3 linked regions of the Oryctolagus cuniculus genome follow. The protein of the gene in region 3 interacts with the protein of the main gene of each other region in a pairwise test. Links are inferred from orthologs where the notes say so. Each region holds a gene or a part of one and is shown on either strand. Other genes may lie near its edges.

Region 1 (7,181 bases), on a different chromosome or scaffold from region 3:
CAGCCTGTCATTTTAAGGAAGTGTGTTTTCAGGTCAGCCTATTGAGAAACGTTTCCTAATGTTTCTTCTGGTGGGGGCCGGGATCTCCCGAGGTCCTCAGGGGCCTCCAGTTTCCTGTTCTCCTTGAGCTCAGCTATTGACTGTGCGCGGGCATCTGCCTTGTCAGAGCCTTGCACATTTAGGGGAAGAGGAACTGTGCGCGTTGTCACCACGTAAGCTCTGCCTGCTGTGCGGTGAGCTGTTGTCTGTCTCCCTCGGGCTAGGTTTGCCTGTTGCTTTCAGCTCTGGTTCTGGGTTGAACATGTAGTATGAGGCATGACTGTTCTGAAACTTGAGGGCAAATTAAAGTATTAGTCAGTGTTCCCCAGCCAGAACCAACAGGGTGGATGGATGGAAGAGAAGGGGTTTATTGGGCAGCTGGCTCACATGATAACGAGGACTAAGTCCCATGACAGGCCATCTGCAAGCCGGAGGACGAGGAAAGCCGACAGAGTGGCCTCGTGCACACCCAGGGTGCCAGCAGCCTAACTCAGTCACACGTGGGGCTGCTGGCACAAGTCCCAGAGCCCAAAGGCTGGAGAATCTAGAGTTTTAGATGTCCAAGGGTGGAAGCACGTCTGGCTGTGAGAGCGAAGGGGGAGGGGGGAGGAAGAAATGAATTCTGTCTTTCCTCTGCCTCTCTGTTCTGTCCGGGCCCGCAGCCCATTAGTTGGTGCCGCCCACAGTGAGTGAGGACACAGCTTCCTTACTCGATGCAATGATTCAAACACCAGTCTCTTCTAGAAACAACCTCACAGGGACACCCAGAAATAATGCCTTATTAGCATTGTAGGTGTCCCCTAATCTGTTCAAGTTAACACAAAAAATTAGCCATCCCACCTGATTGCATATATCCAATGCAGTCCCTTAGAAGAAACTATAATTACTCTTGGATAGAAACTGGTACAGGATGCCAAAGATGTTTGCATTCCTGGCGAATGGCCATCAACAAGAGAGTGTCTTGTACGGGAGCAAAGTCGCGTCTCCTGTGACCAGCTCACTCCATGTGCAGGTGTGACTTGGCCCTCTTTGCAGTGGCCTGTGGTTATTAGGGCTTGGGTAACCACCGCAAGAAAATTCTAACATCTGGCCACAACTTCCCTGTGTGTAATAAAGTCCCTTGTCTGGAGTCGGGGAGGGGAGCAGAACAGTAATTTGCAGCACAAGTAAACATCTTTGGGACCAGCTCCCTCCTTCTGGTGTTCTTGGCATGTCCCTGAGGCCTGGTGAGAGATTGCGACCCCAAGTCCAGCCCAGGAGAACCGAGTGTTTCTATGCCTTTTCCTAGAAAACCGAATTCTGGGTTTCTTCAGTTTCCCTAAAGGATTTGTGTTCCTTTTTGTAATTTCTGAAAACCTAAACTGAGTGGGGCTTAGCTTATGTCTGTGGTGGTTGGGACAGGCTCTTGTGCAGCCAGTTATTAGGGGTGTGTGTGTGTGTGTGTGTGTGTATTGTTTGTGAGGCAAAGGGCAAACCTGGGGCTGCCTTCTTGCTTTCAACTTCCTGCTGCCAGGTAATGTTGCTTGCTTTAAGGGGAGATTGTGATGAAATCTTACTATCCAAGGAGAACCCAGCCTGTAATCCTATAATGCCTATAGAATTAGCAGATCCTACAAACAAATTTCCTGCTGGTCATCCCTCGCACAGGCAAGTGGCTTTTGTATGCAAAACACATTTGTCAGAGCATTTGTAGGTAAAGCGCAACTGAGTCAGTTGGTGTTTAACTCATTTCTGAGCCTGGGTGATCGGACAGCAGCTGCAGCCCCGTGGCGGGAGTGATCACCGCAGACCGTCCTCCTGCAGGGACTCCACACCTAGAGGAGTGGGGGTGGGGTAGCTTGTCTCGGTGGTGACTGTTTGCAGCCATGTCGGCAGGATCAGCAGGTTCTTAATACAGAATGCTATTAAAGACAGGCAAGAATAGAATTCTTCTAAGCAATTCATTGGCTTTCAGAATTGAAGACACGGTGTGTGTGGATTAGCTGTGTCTTAGTATTAAATTATGGAGGTGAAACTATAAGAGGAATAAATCGACGACCTTCACATTGTGTTTGATTTCAGCGTCAACCATCACAGGGAGATCTCTGCCTCCTGGGGCTGAGAGCCCCCGACCCCCCGCAAGCTGAAGCTGCAGGGTACTGCGGTGCCAGCCTGATGTCTTCCCACAAAGGATCCGCGGCAGCACAGGGCAACGGGGCACCTGCCAGCAACAGGGACGCAGACTCGGTGGAGCTGACCGAACTGGGACCCCTCTTAGAAGAGAAGGGCAAACGAGCAGTCACCAACCCAACCAAAGTAAGTCGCTCCCGGAGCCGTTCCCCGGCCAGGCGCGCGCCCTGGCCCTCTGTCGGCCGCTGTGCCTTAGGATCCGAGCCCCCCAGGAACATCTCTGTCCGAGGTCTCATCGGTATCTTTTTGCCTGTTTTTTCCACTCTGAGTTTCTGGGAATTCACTCCTCTTTGTAACCCCAGCATTTAGCACAAGGCCTGAAAGCCAGGAAGGGAGGGAGCAGACGGTTAGGGGCGCGCTCGACGGCCTATAGCAGCACAACTTCTGCAGCTTTGACAAGACAGCATCTCACGTGAGAGGTTCTGGAAGGAGCCAGCGCGTGGCTGATAGGCGGGCGCACGCCTGCCAAAGCCCGTCTGGCTCCTCAGTCGTTCTAGGCGTTGTCTGTCACGCACACTACTCCCTGGGGATGAGGACACCTCCTTCCCTCTGGAAGACACTCCAGGACACGCGGGCCGAGGGGAACGACGCCGTTACATTCAGCCACAATGGAGGCTCCAAAGCGAGTCTTTTCCTTGGGCCTGAGTAGCATTGCCACCCTGAAGAGTACAAGGACTTACCTAGGAAGAGAGAGACGGTGGATGTTGGGATAGGCAAGCAGAATCTGCATCGCAGGATCTAAGAGGGACTGTGTGTTTCAACAAGAGGGCGAGGGAGCAGCCCAGAGAAAGGACAGGACTGCCAGGGTCTCCATCTCCATGGCTGGAGGCCTGGGACGGGGAGAACGGTCTCTTCGAATGGTCTCTCTTCTGCATGGGTACGGGCTCTTGCTACTGCCGCCGTCTGGGGAACCGGTTCTGATCACTGACCCTCCTGGGGGCCTCCGTGGATACAAAGTTGCAGTCAAATAGCATCCCCAGAGTCAGCTCACAGAACCAGGAACAGAATTGTGAAGGCAGTCGGAGACTCTGTGCCTACTTGACAAGTTGAAAATGTAGTGGTCTGAAAGAACTATTTGGAAATTGGGGGAAGCTGAGATTTACCAGCCTCAAGAGAAGGATGGGCCGTTGTCTTTTTTTTTTTTTTTTAAGATTTATTTATTTATTTGAAAGGTGGCGTTAACAGAGAGAGCTAGCTTCCACCCATTAGTTCAATCCCCAAATGGCTGCAACGGCCAGGGCTGGGCCAGACTGAAGCCAGGAGTTTCACCTGGGTCTCCCATGTGGGTACAGGGGTCCAAACACTTGGGCCATCTTCCACTGCTTTCCCAGGCACATTAGTAGGAAACTGGATCAGAAGTGGCGCGGCCAGGACTTGTACTGGTGCCCATATGGGATGCCAGCACTGCAGGCAGTGGCTTAACCTGCTTTGCCATAGCACCAGCTCCATCATCAAGTCATTTTGTTTTTGTTTTTAAAAATTTATTTATTTATTTGAAAGGCAGAGTTAGAGAGGTCTTCCATATACTAGTTCACTCCCCAGTTGGCTGCAACAGCCAGAGCTGGGCCGATCCAAAGCCAGGAGCCTCTTCCAGGTCTCCCAGGCTGGTACAGGGGTCCAAGGACTTGGGCCATCTTCCACTGCTTTTCCAGGCCATAGCAGAGAGCTGGATCAGAAGAGGAGCAGCCAGGTCTCGAACTGGTGCCCATATGGGATGCCGGCACCGCAGGTGGCAGCTTTACCTGCTATACCACAGCACCGGCCCCGCCATCCAGTCTTAACACCTGGGGCTGGTGTGCCCGTCCCCTGTCCCTCAGCTGTCTTCTCCGCCAGGACCTGTCTCCTGGTGCCAAGTGGAACTTCCACTCCCGCGTTTACAAAGTGTTCATAATTTCAGACCACAGTGTTGTGAACCAGTAAATATGGGGGTACTTTAAAAGTTTGTAGAAAACTGGGGTGTAAAGATGAGTTTATTTTGGTATGAAAAAATTGAAATCTTTGCATGCAGTTTTTTCTAATATACATTTTTCATGAGCTTTTTGAGTATCATGTATATAAATTTCAAATCTTCTTGTACCAAAATGAATGCATCTTTTACTTGCGTTGCCCATGAACTTCCCCTCGCATCCTCCTGTCGTGCTCTGGCCCTGTGTAGGAGAGAGGCCGGCAGAAAGCACTGAGTTGTGTTTCTCTGCTGCTCGCCGGGCCTGGTGCGGCACAGTGGGTGAGGGGACTCCCTGTGTTTTCCCGCAGGCTGAAGAAGAGCAAACATGCCCGGTGCCCCAGGAAGAAGAGGAGGAGGTGCGGGTGCTGACGCTGCCCCTGCAGGCCCACCACGCCATGGAGAAGATGGAGGAGTTCGTGTACAAGGTGCAGCTCGGGAGCCTGTCCTGGGAGGGCGAGGGCGGCCGGCTTACCTGGACGTTCCCGCTGGCGAGCTGCCGTGGGCCCAGGAGCTTTCCCGCTGCGGGCGGGTTTGTCTTGTTGGTTAAGGTGAAGTCGAGGTGATGCAGCCTGGGCAGATGTTTAGTGCCTGCTGTACCCGGCATTGTTCACAATAGTCTAAGCAGGGGTTCTCTGCTGTTTTATGCTAAGAAGTCTATGTCAGTGCACTGCGGTGCTGTAGGTTCCTTTGTGACATGCCACATGAGCAGTATTGCTGAACTCGAGTCGAAGTGTACTTTCTGAGTAGTGGTGAGCATTTTGAAATACCTGCAGAAGTAGCGTGTGAGAACATCGGAGGTTTCTGTTGGCGACAAAGCCATATGTTCTAATACTCTGGTCCGTTGCCTACATCTGTAATTGAGGGAAATCCTAAATGCAGTTAGAGATAAATGAAAACCAAGGTCCTTTTTTCCATCCAAGTTTTCATCCACTCCCTGGATTTTGTCCATGGTGCACAGACCCTAGACTCAGACCCCTGCTCTAGACCGTAGAAGTCACGGCCAAAAAGAACTGAGAGTGTGACCGCGGGAGGGATGGAGCGGGGCAGGCCGTCTCCTGGAGAGGGACGAAGAAGGGCTCGTGTGTTTATAAAACCCGAAGTGAAATTTGTCTTCATTCACTAGTTCAGTTTTGAAATTTCAAGTGGCCTAAAGGAGGTGTGGCAGATTTGTTTTAAAAGCTGAAAATCGCGTACAAAAACATATCCAGATACACAATCGTGAGACAAGGACGTCGCAGTTTTTAGAAAGCGGTCAGAGTCTGAGTCAGCGCCCTGGTAGCCCACGCATGCTGTGACTCGGCTGGTCCACGCTGCTTCCCTGCTTGTCCCAGGGACCAGCGGAAGCTTGCCCGACAGTTTCCCAGATGGGGTCTCGGGGTCCCTGCTCATCCCAGGGAGCCAGTGTTTGCCTAGCGCGAGCTTGCCTGTTGCAGGTATGGGAGGGCCGCTGGCGGGTCATCCCGTACGACGTGCTGCCCGACTGGCTGAAGGACAATGACTACCTGCTCCACGGCCACCGGCCGCCCATGCCCTCCTTCCGGGCCTGCTTCCGAAGCATCTTCCGCATCCACACGGAGACCGGCAACATCTGGACCCACCTGCTTGGTGAGTGGCTTGGGTCGGGGTGGGGGAGGGGATCCGGCTTTGTTTCCTTAACTACCAAGGGATTGTGTAGCCTTTGTCCTTGGGAAGGAAGGCCCGTGTAGTTGCTCTGGTTAATGGATAGCTGGAGTTGTACCCCCCCCCTTTTTTTTTAAGATTTATTTATTTGAAAGGCAGGGTTACAGAAACAGTGAGAGGGAGAGACAGAAACAAAGAGAAACTTCCACCTGCTGGTTCACTCCCCAAATAGCCACAGAGGCTGGGCCTAGGCCAGGCTGAAGCCAGGAGCCTGAAACTCCATCCAGGTCTCCCACGTGGGTGCAGAGGCCCAGCACTCGGGCCGTCTGCTGCTTTCCCAGGTGCGTTAGCAGGGAGCTGGATTGGAAGTGGAGCAGTCAGGACTCGAACTGGCACTCAAATGGGATACTGGTGTTGCAGGTGATGGCATAACCCGTTATGCCACAACACCAGCCCCTAGAGTCGTGTCTTTAACGCCTAGTGACCTTGGTCGGTCTTTGATGACTGATTCTAAAGACTGAGGGTAGAAGGCCTGGAAACAAGAAATTGGGGCTGGACATTCTCATTATCCCAGGCAGGACTGTTCTAGGTGGAGGCAATTTCTCTGCTTCCTAAGTCCCCACTGTTTAAAGAGAATGAAAAACACCTGCAGTTCCCACAAACTGGCTTCAACTTCTGATCCTGCTGTGGTTTGCGGGTCTGAACCCGTCAGCTGCCAGCGTGTGCGCGTTCCCTTTCTCCTCACGGGTTTGCTTTTTCCTCCCTACAGGTTTCGTGCTGTTTCTGTTTTTGGGAATCTTGACCATGCTCAGACCAAATATGTACTTCATGGCCCCCCTCCAGGAGAAGGTGGTGTTCGGGATGTTCTTTCTGGGCGCAGTGCTCTGCCTCAGCTTCTCCTGGCTCTTCCACACCGTCTACTGTCATTCAGAGAAGGTCTCTCGGACTTTCTCCAAGTGAGTTGAGGGCGCAGCTACAGAAGTCTGGGCACTGTGCCCGCATTGTGTGATGCTGGTGGGACAGGCTGCCGGGAATGCCTGTAACTCCTAACGAGCCCTGGAAATCCTCAAGTGCCAGACGAACAGAGTTTTTCTTTCCTTTTGGTGAGAGACAGAGAGGGAGCCCCTGTCTGCCAGTTCACTCCCCAAATGCCAGCAGTGGGTGGGATGGGGCTGGGTTGCAGCCGGGCGCCAGGAACTCAGTCCAGGTCTCCCACGTGGGTGGCAGGGGCTGTAACCACTGGCTTCCAGGGTCTGCGCTGGTGGGCAGCTGGAGTCAGGGACCAGAGCTGAGAGTTGAGCTCCAGTGCTGCTCTGGGCGACGCAGGCCTCTGAGCCCTGGACTAAATGCCTGCCCCGACGGGAAGGCTCTGTTGTGTGGCTCGAGTTGCGGGGACAGCTTTTCTCTC
Region 2 (7,272 bases), on a different chromosome or scaffold from region 3:
TTCCCATCCAGCTTCCTGCTAATGCACCTGGGGAAGCAGCAGGAGACGACCAAGGGCTTGGGCCCCATGTGGGAGACCTGGGTGGCTTCATCGTGTTCCAGCCCCTCATTGTGGCCGGTTGGGGAGTGAACAAGTGGGTGGTGCTCGCCGGCTTTGAAGAACCTGGATACTGTAATATCAGCCTTCTTACTGATGGTCTTGCAGAAAATGAACTAGACTGAGAAAGATTCGGGCCAGTTCTTGAGGATTCTTAACTTTTTCTAGCCACTCGTCGTGAATCTGTCCTCTGAGAATATTATCTAAATCTTTTGGAACTGACTTAGGTGACATTTAATTGGTTGAATGACTTATATTTTGAAACGGCGACACGGAGCAGACCATACAGTAACAGTTCTGGGGGCCTGGAGCTTGGGCTTAGACGGGTTTTCAACATCACAATCATGGTTAAGCTTGCAGAGGCGTGGTTCTACTTCATCCAGCCCTCTCAGCTGAACGACGACACAACAATATCACCCCATTTTACAGGCGACAAAGCTAAGGCGAGGAGCAGCCGTCTGGCCCACTGGTTAAGACGCCTTCATCCCGCAGGGGATACTGGGTTGGGTACTCGGCCCCTGACTGCACTTCCTGCCGGAGTGCATGCTGGGAAGCCATGGTGACAGCTCAGGTGCTTGGGTTTCCACCACCCGTGAGAGACCTGGGTTGAGCTCCGGGCTCCTGGCTTCAGGCCCCGCCCCCAGCCCCGGCCACTGTGGGCATTTGGGGGTGAACCTGCAGATGGGGGCACCCCCCCCTTTGCCTCTCAAGTGAATGAACACTTTTTAAGGTGAAAAAGTTAATTATTGTGCCTACCTTTATGTACATTAGTGAGTAGCAATGTCAAAAATTAGAATCTGTGGAACTGGAATCCTTTTTTTTTTTTTTTTAAATATTTATTTATTTATCCGGGGCAGGTGCTGTGGTGCAGCAGGTTAGAGCTCTGGCCTGAAGTGCCGGCATCCCATATGGGCACTGGTTCTAGTCCTGGCTGCTCCACTTCTGGTCCAGTTCTCTGCTGTGGCCTGGGAAAGCAGTGGAGGATGGCCCAGGTCCTTGGACCCCTGCACCCACATGACAAAAGAAGCTCCTGGCTCCTGGCTTCGGATCAGTGCAGCTCTGGCCATTGCAGCCATCTGGGTAGTGAAGTAGCGGACGGAAGACCTCTCTCATTGTCTCTACCTCTCTCTGTAACTCTGTCTTTCAAATAAAATCTTTTTAAAAAGATTTATTTATTTATCTGAAAGGCAGAGTTAGAGAGAGAGAGAGAGAGAGAGAGAGAGAGAGATCCTCCATCCGCTGGCTCACTCCCCAAATGGTGACAACAGCCAGAGCTGTGCGGATCCAAAGCCAGGAGCCAGGAGCTTCATCTGGGTCTCCCACGCGGGTGCAGGGGCCCAAGCGCCAGGGCTATCCTCTACTTCTTGGAACTGGAATCTTTTAACCACCTCATTATCTTATCTCTTGCTATGCACGCTAGGCCTTGTGGAACGTTGAACTCATCGAAATTTTTTTAAAGATTTACTTATTTATTTGAAAGAGTGACAGAGCCGGAGAGATAGACTGAGATCTTCCATCTGCTGGTTCACGGGTGGCAGGGGTCCAGGCACTTGCGCCGTCTTCCACTGCTTTCCCAGGTGCACTAGCAGGGAGCTGGACGGGGAGTGGAGCAGCCTGGACGTTCAACCCTCATATGGGATGCGGGCGGCGCCTCTGGATGGCTTTAAACCCTGGGGCCCTGACGTTTGCTTTGCTTTCTTACTGTTTCCCCGACTCCCCTTCGCCGGCCCGGCCCAGTGCTGCGCGACCTTCCAGTGCTGCGCGACCTTCCCTCACGTGTCTATCAGAGCCTTGCGGACAGGCTGCTTAACGCGTGTTTGTTTTGCCTTTCCGGAGAGCCTGTAAACACCTGGAAGCCAGAGGCAGCCTCGCACCGCCCAGCACCGGGCAGGGACGCCCGGGAGCGCATGGACGGCCTCTGGACCAAGCGCCCTCCCCGCTTCGGCCCCTGCCCAGGTCCTGGACGACCACTCCGCTTCCTCCTCCGAGTCCCGGCTCCCTCCACCCCGATGCCCTCGGGCCTCCCCAGCCGGCCGAATCCAGCGTCCCCCGCCCCGGGGGAGCATCTTCAGCGTCCCCTAGCGACGACGCGGCGGCTCCTAGCAACCGCATCCAGGCTCCCTGACGACGGAGGCACGCAGGCCACGTCAGCGCGCCGCGGCCACGCCCCCGGCGCGCGCTGGCCCCGCCTCCCCGCGCCTCGTCCGCCGCCGCCGCCGCCGCCGCCGCCGCCGCCGCCCGAGACTCACGCAGAGCAGTTATGGCGGATCCCGCAGCCCCCGCGCCCGCAGCTCCCGCTCCCGCCCAGGCCCCAGCCCCAGCTCCGGAGGCGGCCCCGGCCCCGGCCGCAGCCCCTGCCCCGGCGTCGGCGCCGGCCGCCGGGCCGGACTCGACCTCCGGGCCCTCCTCCGACTCCGGCCCCGAAGCCGGCTCGCAGCGTCTGCTGTTCTCTCACGACCTGGTGTCGGGCCGCTACCGCGGCTCGGTGCACTTCGGGCTGGTGCGCCTCATCCACGGCGAGGACTCGGACTCCGAGGGCGAGGAGGATGGCCGCGGCAGCTCGGGCTGCTCGGAGGCGGGCGGCGCCGGCCACGAGGAGGGCCGGGCCAGCCCGCTGCGCCGCGGCTACGTGCGCGTCCAGTGGTACCCGGAGGGCGTCAAGCAGCACGTGAAGGAGACCAAGGTGCGGCCGGGCGGGTCGGGCGCGAGGGGCGGGGAGGGGTCGGCCGCGGCCGCCCGGGCGGGCCGGCCGTGCCCGGAGCGCCGCCACTGCAGTGGCTCCATGCAAAGTCATTGCACCAGCTCCGGGCGGACACGCCAAGCCGGCGCTGCTGGCCTGGGCCCGGGCCCCGGGCTTCCCGGCTCGAGGGGGAGGGGACCTGCCAGCCGCGCCGGGCCGGGCTTCGGCCTCCAGGTCGCGGGCGTGCCGCGCTCCCGCGGGGGGCAGAGCTGCCCCCAAGGAGCGCCTTGCTGCATTGTGCGTCCGGAACGGCGGGCCGCGCCGCCCGGTGCAGGGAGGGAGGGGTCGCAGCTCTCGGGGCCGAGATCGGGGGACGGCCCTGGAAGTTCCCCAGGTGCAGAAAGCCCCGCGGGGCAGCCGGCCTGCCTCTTTTTGTCTCACGGAGCCGCCCCGGTTCTCTGACTGCAGCGGGGAGCTTGGCGTGTGAAATTCTCCAGGAGGTTAAATAGCACCGGGGTGGGGGTGGGGGTCCTGACGGCGGCCTGGGCGGTGGGGGACTCCCGCGTGCTTGCGGACTTTTTGGGAGGACAGATGATTACAGGACCATGGATAGGGGACCGGCCCCGACTGGGGAGCCTGGAGCGTTTTTCTGGATTCCGAAGCTGTTAGGCAAACATCAGAGTCCCATATGGCACTGGGGTGCGGCTGGTGGCTGTCGCAGTTTTTAGACAACAAAGGGGCTTGTCATCCTAAACCTGAAACCCTGCACCCAGGTTGGTGTGGTAGCTTGTCCACGCCCCCTCCCCGTGTGACTAACTGTCAGTGGTCACACACACCTCCATCGCACACCCTCTCGTCCTCACCTCCACCCCTGCCCTCCGTGTGAAACGGGAACCCGGCACCCGGCCGGCCTGCGCTGTCTGATCTCACAGGCTCCACTTGAGAAGTTAATCTGGGTTTCTCTCACGCCGGGAGACAAAGACCACGGAGGAGCAGCTCCGAGCCCCACTGCACGGGGCTCTGTGAGGACGGCTGGGCGGGGACAAGGCCCCTCGCCTGCCAGCGCTTTCCTGGTGGCAGAAGTGACTGCTGATCCCAGCAGGGTCTTTCTCTCGCTAATGCGCATGCACCCACAGGCCCAAATCCACACACAGGCCCGGGCCTCCCCTCAGAAATGCAAATCAGGCAGCCGTCTCCGACTGGGTATACGTTCATTTGCAGAAGTCTTTGGAAAATACTGCTTTTAGCCAGGGATGCATGTTTAAAAAAATGTGCGGGTGCTCCGTGCACGCCCTCATTGTCTTGCGGGCAGGTGCTGACTGCTGTCCCCGGGAGGTGGTCACCTCCGGTCCTCTCTGGAGGCTGGTGACTTTCGGGATGCAGCTCACTTGACTCCAGCATCTGCCCGGCACCCAGGAGGCAGCTGTTTATCAGTTGCCGCTCCTGCCCAACTTGACTTTGGTGGTTAACTTTGTTTACAGCCACGCTAGGTGCGCCTCCCTCACCATGTGTAATTATACCAAGTTTGCCTTAAGATGCCTATTTAGGGAGTCAAGTGAGGATGACTTGCAGGCACCACTCGAGTAGGTTTTAAGACGGCCCTCGTGTGACTCGCCTGGAATCATTCAACTCCGTTTTGCCGCCCCGGTGGTGGTGGTTTCTTTGCCGTCATGGCTTTTGGACTTAGCAGAAGCCCAGGGCGCAGGGACCCCTCGGAAGTGAGTGCAGTGTCCGGATCTTTTGAGGGCCTGGAGATAGGTCCAGCGGTTGGCACAGACGACCTTGGTCCACTGCAGGTCTCCTTGCAGCACTGTGGACTAGGGAGATGTTCCTCTCATCTCCTGTTCTTCTAGATTCCGTCACGGCGATGGCCCGCTGTGGAGACCATCAGACCAAGGCTAGGATTTGGTTCTGGTGCCTGCCCCGGCAGTAATCCAGTGATGAGATTTAGAGCCCAGTTATCAGTAGAATAGCATGGGGCACACTGGGTTCTAGTCCCAGTCGGGGTGCCGGATTCTGTCCCGGTTGCCCCTCTTCCAGGCCAGCTCTCTGCTGTGGCCAGGGAGGGCAGTGGAGGATGGCCCAGGTGCTTGGGCCCTGCGCCCCATGGGAGACCAGGAGAAGCACCTGGCTCCTGCCATCTGATCAGCGTGGTGCGCCGGCCGCGGCGGCCATTGGAGGGTGAACCAACGGCAAAGGAAGACCTTTCTGTCTCTCTCACTGTCCACTCTGCCTGTCAAAAAAAAAAAAAAAAGAATAGCATGGGGTGGCATTGAGGAACTTTGCCTTTTTTGATAGTGTGGAGTGAACTTTGCCTTTTTTGATAGTGTCCCTTTAGTGTGGAGTGTTTCTGAGGCTGTGGAGGATTTTTTTTTGTAGTTTTCATGTTGAGTTGGAGGGCAGTGAGTGAGTTTGCAGTGAACAAGTTTACAAGGAGAGAGAGAAACTGGGCAGCAAGTCCTGCCCTCACCCCGCCACCTCTGCGCAAGTGAGCAGTGCAAATAAAGGAGTTCTTACAGCAGCCCAAATGGAGTTCCTTTGGAACTGGACGGAAGAGAGTGACCGGGGCCTCTGAGGTGGGCCCGCCTGTCCGCAGCCTGCTGGTGCCTTCAGCGCGCTGGCCATTTACCCTTGAAACTTGAGGGGGCGTACCCGTCCCCGCCAGCGGTCATCCGTTGCATACATTGTGGAGTGGAGCCCAGATGCGGGCAGCCTCTCCTCTCCTGAACACCGGCGGGCCTGTGGCTCTTCCTGGCCCCCGTGGGAGGAGCCAGGACTGCAGCCTCCTTGTGTTTGCCCGTCCTGCCTGTGTTTGCCCGTCCTGCCTGTGTTTGCCCGTCCTGCCTGTGTTTGCCCGTCCTGCCTGTGTTTGCGCGTTCTCCCAGCCCCCCTGTGTTGTCTTTTGCTGCGAGTTGCCCCGGCACTGCGGGTGTCCGGGTTTGAGACACAAAGCCTCCAACCTGAAGCCGTGTGTGATCACCCTGCTTTTATGAGGCTGCCTAAGAAGCAGCCCAGTGACAGGTCCCTCAGGAATTGGCTTTTTAGTTTATTTTTGGCTCCTACTTAGGCCAGCATTTCCATGGGGAAAGCTTTCAAGGTGCAGCAGCGTCACACAGCACGTGAAGTTCGACTCGCTTGTCGGGGTGCCGGGCCCATTAGAAGCAGTTGTTCCCAGTGATGTGACAGGAAGAAGTTATGTAAGGTGGACGGATGCAGGACCAAGTGCATTCTATTCAGATGGGATCCCAGCGCCTGGGGATTCCGGCAGCGCTGGCATTTTACTTTCTGCCCCTCGGCTTTTCCGCTTCTAACTAACTCCTGGGCCTCAGCGCCGGAGAGCGTCTCTGTCCAGATGCTGCCTGGCTCAGGGCCACTCTGACCAGACAAGGGTGCGTTTTGTTTTGTCCTGGGATTGGAGTCAGACGTGTGGGTGCCCTCCTCGGCTGGCACCTAACTCTGCACGACCTTGGCCCAGTCACTGCCTCGTTTTCTCTGTCTGCGGTGAAAGACAAGGCCGTCGTTCTAGCCCTGAACTGAGCTCACACAGAGGGACTAGCCAGGAGCGAAGCTCGGGACACCGTTCTGATGCCTGTGCACTGGGCCGGCCCTGTCCCTTCACGAGGTCACGTCTGTGCTCACAGGGCGGTGTAGGCTGGGGGAGGCCAGAGTGGTCGGGAGCTTGTCCTGAGGCCTGGGCACGGCTCGCTGGTGACCAGATGGGTTCCCGGCTGTATTAAGCCCGGCTTACTCCTGAATTTCTTAACGGAAGTCACACCCAGCCTCCAGGGGTTGGGACGCAGAGTCTGGAAGAGGTCTTTTGAAATCCCCAAAGGGCAGGTAGTGAGCGGATGCATAAGAGCGTGGTGGCCCATCACCTTTGTAGTTCGAGATACTAAGCACAGCAGGTGCTGTTTACTGCTGACTGTGCTTACTGTGGGCCTCACACAGTCTTCCCCTGTTAGGAGCTGGGAGCCCTTGGCTCAGAGGAGGAAGTTGAGGGGCAGAGGGGCGGTTACTTGCCCAGCGTCTCGGTGCTGGTGAGTGGAGGAACCTGGGTGCAGACTCACGTCAACGAGGTTTCCTCTCACCTGAGGATGTTTAAGTGCAGGGTTCAGACCACTCCTAGGCCTGGCGGGGTACCCTGGCTGGAGGGCTTTCTGGGGTAGGAGGTGGCTGCAGGTGGGGAGGGAGGGAGGTGCAGGACGTGGGTGGGGCCCTGCCTTTCTATTTGTGCTGTGTCTCTGGCCTTGGACACCTTCTTCCCCACGCTCCGCCATTCTCAGAGTGGCTGCCACGACACGTCTCTGGGGAGCCCCTGGTGCCCGGGGTGGGATGCCAGCGGCCTCTGTCACACGAGGCATCTCAGCGCTGGTTTTACCGCCCACCCCGCCTCCTGGAGCAAGCCCAGTGCCTCTGTGTTCCTGGATTGTCTTAGAGGTGATCAGTGTTTGGAACTCCGACTTGACCTCCTCTCCCCTGGCTGCTGTCATCCTGCT
Region 3 (7,503 bases):
CAGAACTTCAAGGAGTACCATGTAAAAACCTAATTATAAGAAGACCAAATATAATTTTAGGAGACTAATAATTAACAAATCTATTTACTAGCTTGTATGTCCTTTTGTTGTAAATTATACGTGTGAAACGTCGGAAAGAAGTCTTGGGTGGATGTTGTTTAATCCTGACTTGCCTGCCATAAAATTAACCAGCTGCCCACAGTTTTTACTGTGCTACCCACACACAAGTCTCCAGTAACCCCTAAGGCATTTTTTGAACAAGCTTCATTTTCTGCATAAAAGGAAATGGGCTTAAAATGAACTCAGTTTGGTCAACTGTACAAAACTAAAGCTGATTAAACTTAAAACTGGTTATCAAAGAAGATGGGAAATTCTGCAGCTTTGGAGATGTCTTGTTTTAAGATTTATTTATTTATTTGAAAGTTGGGGTTAACACAGAGAGAGAAAGAGAGGCAGAGAGAGAGAGGTCTTCCATCTGCCGATTCATTCCCCAGTTGGTCACAACGGCCGGCCGGAGCTGCGCCGATCCGAAGCCAGGAGCCAGGAGCCAGGAGCCAGGAGCCTCCTCCGGGTCTTCCTTGTGGGTGCAGGGGCCCAAGGACATGGGCCATCCTCTACCGCTTTCCCAGGCCATAGTAGAGAGCTGGATCAGAAGTGCGGGACTCGAACCTGCACCCATATGGGATGCCAACACCGCAGGCAGTGGCTTTACCTGCTACACCACAGCACTGTCCCCTGGAGATGTTTTAAAACAGGAAATAGGACCAAATTTTTGAATGAGCAAGGTGTAGAGTGGCCTAAGGCGAGAGGATCCAATTTGAGGCATTTTATAACTCTTTCTAGTTTTATAATTTTATAATTCAACTTAACCACCTTTCCATCCAATTGAATGTTAATCTTTGTTTTGTTTTTTAACCAGTTGAGTCTGGCAACAATTCCTTGCCTTTCTCAGAACGTAATAGCCTATTGGGAGTTCTGTACAAAAACACAACTTAGATGTGCACACCATACAAAGAAGGAAACCATTTAACTGGATGAGAGATCACACCCAGATATTTCAGATACCTAACAGAAGTTTTCCTTGGAATTATTTGGTTTGGCCAAGAGAATTGTGTAACTCCCCTTCAGTTACACTATTTAACTCTTTTGTCTTATACTTTGTTTTCACTTGCTACTTATTTCTTATCAGGAGTCACTACCTTCTCCCATTTAAATCATAACATCTTTTTTCCTCTTTTTTTTCTTTAAAGATTTATTTATTTGAAAGGAAGACATCAGAGAGAGAGAGAGGAAGAGAGTGCTCTTCTGTCCTCTGGTTCACTCTCCAAATGGCTGCAAGAATTCAGGCTGGGCCAGGCTGAAGCTGGGAGCCAGGAACCCCATCCAGGTCTCCCACATGAGTAGCAGGGGCCCAAGAAATAGAACCATCTTACACTGGCTTCCAGGAGCATTAGTGGGGAATTGGATAGGCAGTGGAGCAGCAGAGACTCAAACTGGTGTTTAGATACTGGATGCTGGCTTTGCAAGCAGAGGCTTAACCTGCTGTGCCACAATGCCAGCCCCATCATGATTCTTTAGAGCACCATGATCTCTTGAAGGAAAGACAAAATTATGTTTTAAAAACCTGGGGCCAGCACTGTGGCGTAATGGGTAAAGCCATCGCCTGCAGTGCTGGTTCCAGTCCAGGCTGCCCCAGTTTTGATCCAGCTCTCTGCTATGGCCTGGGAAAGCAGTGGAAGATAGCCCAACTCCTTGGGCTCCTGCACTCATGTGGGATACCCAGAATAAGCTTCTGGGTCCTGGCTTTGGATCGGCCCAGTGCCAGCCATTACAGCCATTTGAGGAGTAAATCAGCGGATGGCAGACACTTCCCCACCACCTCTGCCTCTCCATACCTCTGCCTTTCAAATAAATAAAATCTTGAAAGAAACCACAAAAATAAAAAAAAAACAAACTTTACCATCCAGCCTAAGAAGTTAAGATGGCCATTTGGAATGTCTGCATCCCATATCAGAGTGCCTAGGTTTCAGTCCTGGCTCTGCTTCCAATTCTAGCTTCCTGCTAATGTGCACCTTGGGAGGCAGCAGTAACGGCTCAAGTATGTGGGTCCCTGCCCTCCATGTGGGATGATGGAGTGCCTAGGCTTCAGCTTCTGCTTGGCCTAGCCCTGGCCAATGCAGGCTTTTGGGGAGTGAACCAGTTAATGGGAAATCTCTGTGTGTCTCTCTCCCTCTGTCCTTCAAAACAAAAACTTTTAAAAAGAGAGAGATCAGAAGAAACCCTAGTATTTTAGTTAAAAATATGTAACTTCTGGGGCTGGCGCTGTGGTGCAGCGGTTTAAAGCCCTGGCCTGCAGCACTGGCAACCCATATGGGGGCAGGTTTGAGTCTCAGCTGCTCCACTTTTGATACAGCTCCCTGCTAACGGGCCTAGGAAAACAGCAGAGAATGGCCTAAGTGCTTGGACTCCTGTACCTATGGGGGAGACCTGGTAGAAATTCCTGGCTCCTGGCTTTGGCTCGGCCCAGCCCTGGCCGTTGCGGCCATTTGGTGAGTGAACCAGTGGATGGAAGACCTCTCTCTGTATCTGTAACTCTTTCAAATAAATAAAATAAATCTTTAAAGAAAATGTAACTTCCATCCTCATTACAGCATATGTGTTTCAATCTATCTGTGGCATCGGGCGGCGATTCATCCTTACTCAGCATCTTTTTTATTTCTTAAATGAAAACGGGATGGATTGGTGGGACAAATGGCTAGTTTATTTTGCCATTTTCTCTTTACACTGAAGAAAGCATCACTGCTAACTCTACAGAAAAATGGAGGTGGGGGAAGACGGACCGGGGAGGCAGGGAGAGACGGGGTCTCAGGCTTCACTCGCTCCAATCCCCGACTCGATGCTTCGCTTTACTGTAAAAGAAGCGATGTGAACCCGCTTTCCAATGTTTTTTTGATCGAACAGAAATGCTAATCAGTTATCAACATAAGCAAGCAGCATGGCCTCATATTTAAAGGGTGTTTTCCTTTGTGATGTAAAAGAATGGCAGGTCAGTTCTTCCTTCGTGGGTAGGTAAGGGCTGCCGAACTGGCAACAGTCATGGGTTTTTTCTTGTTGTTGCTGGTGGTGGGTCTGTGTTTTTTAAACTCAATAAACTATTACCAAGCGCCCGGAAGGCGCATTTCGATCCCGCAAATTTAGCAGAAGCTCCAGTTAATGACGGAACTTCGGATCTCACAGACATCCGTTTTGCTGGATGCTTCAGGCAGGTCTGGGAAGGTTATAATTTGAGGAAACTGAGGAAAGGCGCCAGCGGTAGGGGTTTTTCCAAGGTCGCTGACGAAATACATTGCCGGAGAAGTAAGACTGCCCCAAATTCCCCAGTGTGATGCTCCCTCGAGGTTCCGGTAACTCGCGCTGCAAGCCGTGGCGGGGGACGGGCTCTGCCGATTTGCATCCAAACGCCCGAACGCTACACGGGATCGCCCAGCCGAGACAGGGCCGCCTCCGCCACCAGCGAGGCCAGGGTTCGCAGAGCAGTTTTTCTCGCTAGAGGAACCTCTCCCGGTCAGCTCCAGCGCTGACGGGCGTGGCCTCGAGCCAATGGGAGCCCCTGGAGGCGGGGCGAGCAGGCCGGGGGGCGGGATTTCCCGCGCGGCAGCTCGGCGCCTGGCGAGGGCGGCGCGGGCGGCGTCGGCGTCGGCGGCGGCAGAGCCTGCGAGAGGGAGGGCGGGCCGCGGTCAGCTGCTGCAGGCGGGCGGGCGCGGGGAGCTGTGGGCGGCCGCTGCGTCTCCTGCCACCGCCCTCCCTTCGCCACGATGCCGGGGATCGACAAGCTGCCCATTGAGGAGACGCTGGAGGACAGCCCGCAGGTGAGGCGCGGGCGGCGGCGGGCCATGCAGGCGAGCCGGGCGGGAGGACCACAGGCCTGCGGTTGCCGCCGGTGCCCGCCCGGGCCCAGGTAGGGCCGCCGCCCAGGTATCCCCCGCCCGCGGACTCGGGCCGCGCCCGGAGCATTCGAAGCCGGGCCCGCTTCCCGAGGCCCTCGTGGGCCCGCGCTGCAGGGCCGAGGGCCGCGGGCGGGGACCGAGCCGGCCGCCGCCGCCGCCGCCTGTCGTGGGCCTGGCAGTCACGTCCGCGCGCGGGTCTCCTCTGTGTTGGATGGAAAGTGCCTGTTTTGTTGTTTTTGTTTTTAATCGCTGCGATGGGAGGTGCTAGCTCCCCCACCCCGGAATTTTCGGAGGAAAGGCAGGAAAGGGAGCCAACCTGGTAGTCTTGTTCGGCGGCCGCAGCGGCTCGGCGAGCTGGGGAGGCGAGGAAAGGAGGGCTGTGTGTCCCGGAGCCCGTCCCCGCTCTCCGCGCCCGCGGTGCTCGCGTCGGGGCCGGGCCCGGCCGCTGTCACAGCCCGAGCGGTGCGCGGCGAGCGAGGGACGGCGCCTTCGCGGCTGGCCGGCCGCCGCGCCGCTCGCTGCAGACTTGGCTCCAGTAATAAACTCATCAAAATAAGAGCCCGGTGTTGTGTGTGTGGTGCGTTGGGGGGTGATGCTGCTTTGACGGCTGGCGATTCTGACCGCTTTTTGGGAAATGTAACCCAGGAATGGAATCAGCTGTTTCAGGAAAGATGTTGGCGGGAGGGGAGTAGGGGCTGTAACTTAGCTTCGGAGAAACCTGATTCCCAAGCCTGCCTTTTATACCAATAAGCAGTTGAAGACATACTGCTAGATACCACTCGGAAACGTCTCTGAAGCTTTGTGTATTTCGAAATAAAATGCACGTATTCCACGTGTCTACGATTTGATAGGGCTCCCTCAAAAGAAAGCACAGGCTGGATCATGCCCCCTTTCCTGGGTACCTCCTCTGCCTTGGATTTTGTGCCAGTTTGAGTTGCCAGGTTGAAATTGGGCTCTGATTGTAGAACTGATTTGTACTTGTTACATTCTGAAAGTTATCTTCCCAGGCCAGTAGGTGCCGGCTGGTAATGCTCTTTTATCAGCCTAGACTAACCGAAAGAGACACCCGCATTTTGGTTTATCTTGACTCCCAGTTCAGATTTCTCTTAATGACTCCTGTAGTACAGAGTTAGAAACTGTCTTGTTTCAGGTGGTTTGTGGGAGGTTTTGGCCAGGTGCGCTTTGTCATTTTGCTTTTTTGTTCTGTAAGTTGCTGCAGGTTGCCTTACCTTCTGTGTTTTGTAGCCCAGAGAGAGACCACAGCTCAGAATGGGTTGCACTGTGCTCCAGCCACGAGTTTTGAGGCACAAATGATTTTTTTTTTTTTTTTTTGACAGGCAGAGTGGACAGTGAGAGAGAGAGACAGGTCTTCCTTTTCCGTTGGTTCACCCTACAATGGCCGCTGCGGCTGGCATGCTGTGGCCACCGCACTGCACTGATCCGAAGCCAGGAGCCAGGTGCTTCTCCTGGTCTCCCATGCGGGTGCAGGGCCCAAGGGCCTGGGCCATCCTCCACTCCCTTCGCGGGCCACAGCAGAGAGCTGGCTGCCTGGAAGAGGAGCAACCGGGACAGAATCTGGCGCCCCAACCGGGACTAGAACCTGGTGTGCCGGCGCCGCAGGCAGAGGATTAGCCTAGTGAGCCGCGGCACCGGCCACAAATGATCTCTTGACTCATCTGATTCATGTCTTGAGTTTTTCACATAGTTTACAATTTGAAAATGAGTTCTTTGTATCAGTTGTGTAGTAGTTTTTAAAATGAAATAGCTACATTGATACTTTAATATCCAGAAGCAGCACATTTGAACTGGGTAATATTTGGGAAAATTGGTTGGAAAAGCTGGGGTTTAAGGAGGAAACGGAAAGCACCTGGAGGTAATTCCCAGGGAGAACCTGTAGTTGGGCTAGAAAGCCCTGGGTGTGGAATTGAGGAGCTAAGGGTTTGTCTACCACTTGGTACTTTCTGCTCGAGGGCAAGTCACTCAAATTCTCTGAGCCTCAGTGAGTGTTTGAATTTTTCACCCTGATTATTAAAAGATAATGGTGGCTTGCTTCAGAAAAACTGGAAGATGCAGGAGAAAATGCACATTCACAATTGACCTGCCAAGCCCTAGCAGCAGACCCTATTAACAGTTGGCTTTATTCTAGTCTTTTTTATTTCAACATGTTTTAGTGTAATTGAAATTATATTGTGTTCAGTTATTTTTGTTCTTTCAGCGTAACAAATTAGCTCACATATCTTCACATTACTATATTCTGAAAGAAAAAAGTCTGAGGACAGCACCTTTCCTTAATTGACTGAACAGTTGACCTGTTGGCATTTTAGAGTTATCCCAAAATTTAGCTTTTCTGAAGAGGGCTAAATAATGCTTTTGAGCATAACTTTTTGTTCTCAGTTTAGACTATTTTATCTAGGAAAGAATCCAAGAAGTGGAGTAACAAAGAATATTAACATTTTTAAAGCTCCTGGTATAGATAAGTTTTTTTATTGGATCGTTAATCCTAATGAAAAGTGGCCTGCCAGTTGCTGTGTGAAAACAGCGTGGGAGTCATGGACAACTATCCTGAATTACTGTTACCTTTAGTAGTTTTTGCTTTATAGTAACTAGGTATTAAAATAGGGTGAATCTACAAGTTCAAATGCAGCTGATTAAACATAAGCATCTTTAAAATTATCTTGCCCATACCACACTGTTCTGCAAGAGGTCGTCTGTTGAGACAGAAAATCTTAAGCCTGCACTAGGTGACTTGACCATGTTTATAAATCATTTTGAAAATGAGACAAAAAATAAAACATGCTAAGAAGAGGTATGACTTCTAAAAATTATTGATTTTGGCAGCCTGCATTGTGGTGTTAGGAACTGTGATGCTGGGAACCCATATGGGCTCTGGTTTGTGCCCCACCTGCTCCACTTGTGAGCCAGCTCCCTGCTAATGGCCTGGGAAAAGTAGTGGAAGATGGCCTATGTGTTTGGGCCCCTGCCACCCACTTGGGAGAGCTGGATGAAGCTCTGTTGGCCTGGCTGTTGTGGCCATCTGGGGAGTGAACCCAGCGATGGAAGATATGTCTCTCCCTCTCTCTCAGATTTTTGAATAAATTTTTAAACAATTATTGATTTCCTGTATACATACTTAATGATTGATCCATGATATAGAATGGTGAAGACAAACCTCAATCTCAAGTGAGGATTTCTTTGTTTGCATAATGTGAAATACCCATAGAATGTAAGATACACTTTTTTAATTCCATGTTTTAACATCAGATTCCCCTGGCAGTTGTAATGTATTTGACCTTGCCTACAGATGAACAAACTTGTTTGTTTCTCCTAGTGGCATACTGTCCAAGTGCAGCCTCTTAGTAAAGTTAGCAAATCAGTTTAACAGTCATTTGAGGAAGGAAAGGTTGTTACTGGAAAACCTTTTTCTGCTTGGTGGAAGTGAGAGTCTGTCTTGGAAGATGATACTAGGAACAAAGGTGGAGAAGGTCTAAGAAATACTTGTCACATCCCTCAAATTCATGGAACACAGAATAACATGTAAGATAACATGAATAACATG

Evidence for each region.
Region 1: the proteins of APPL1 (region 3) and ADIPOR1 interact in binary tests that used the Homo sapiens proteins (3 or more experiments, as listed by UniProt). The link is inferred for Oryctolagus cuniculus from reciprocal best matches to the Homo sapiens genes APPL1 and ADIPOR1.
Region 2: the proteins of APPL1 (region 3) and UBE2O interact in binary tests that used the Homo sapiens proteins (3 or more experiments, as listed by UniProt). The two-hybrid records come from large-scale screens. The link is inferred for Oryctolagus cuniculus from reciprocal best matches to the Homo sapiens genes APPL1 and UBE2O.

Annotation. Positions count from the first base shown.
Region 1 is NC_091444.1:18,681,336-18,688,516, reverse strand, and holds the start of ADIPOR1 (adiponectin receptor protein 1), read left to right. Parts: upstream 1-2,193; coding exon 2,194-2,334; intron 2,335-3,340; exon of another isoform or gene 3,341-4,461; coding exon 4,462-4,578; exon of another isoform or gene 4,579-5,586; coding exon 5,587-5,758; exon of another isoform or gene 5,759-6,542; coding exon 6,543-6,729; exon of another isoform or gene 6,730-7,181. UniProt on the Homo sapiens protein: Receptor for ADIPOQ, an essential hormone secreted by adipocytes that regulates glucose and lipid metabolism. Required for normal glucose and fat homeostasis and for maintaining a normal body weight.
Region 2 is NC_091448.1:4,314,848-4,322,119, forward strand, and holds the start of UBE2O ((E3-independent) E2 ubiquitin-conjugating enzyme), read left to right. Parts: upstream 1-2,284; 5' UTR 2,285-2,356; coding exon 2,357-2,779; intron 2,780-7,272. UniProt on the Homo sapiens protein: E2/E3 hybrid ubiquitin-protein ligase that displays both E2 and E3 ligase activities and mediates monoubiquitination of target proteins. Negatively regulates TRAF6-mediated NF-kappa-B activation independently of its E2 activity.
Region 3 is NC_091441.1:92,680,195-92,687,697, reverse strand, and holds the start of APPL1 (DCC-interacting protein 13-alpha), read left to right. Parts: upstream 1-3,671; 5' UTR 3,672-3,815; coding exon 3,816-3,869; intron 3,870-7,503. UniProt on the Homo sapiens protein: Multifunctional adapter protein that binds to various membrane receptors, nuclear factors and signaling proteins to regulate many processes, such as cell proliferation, immune response, endosomal trafficking and cell metabolism.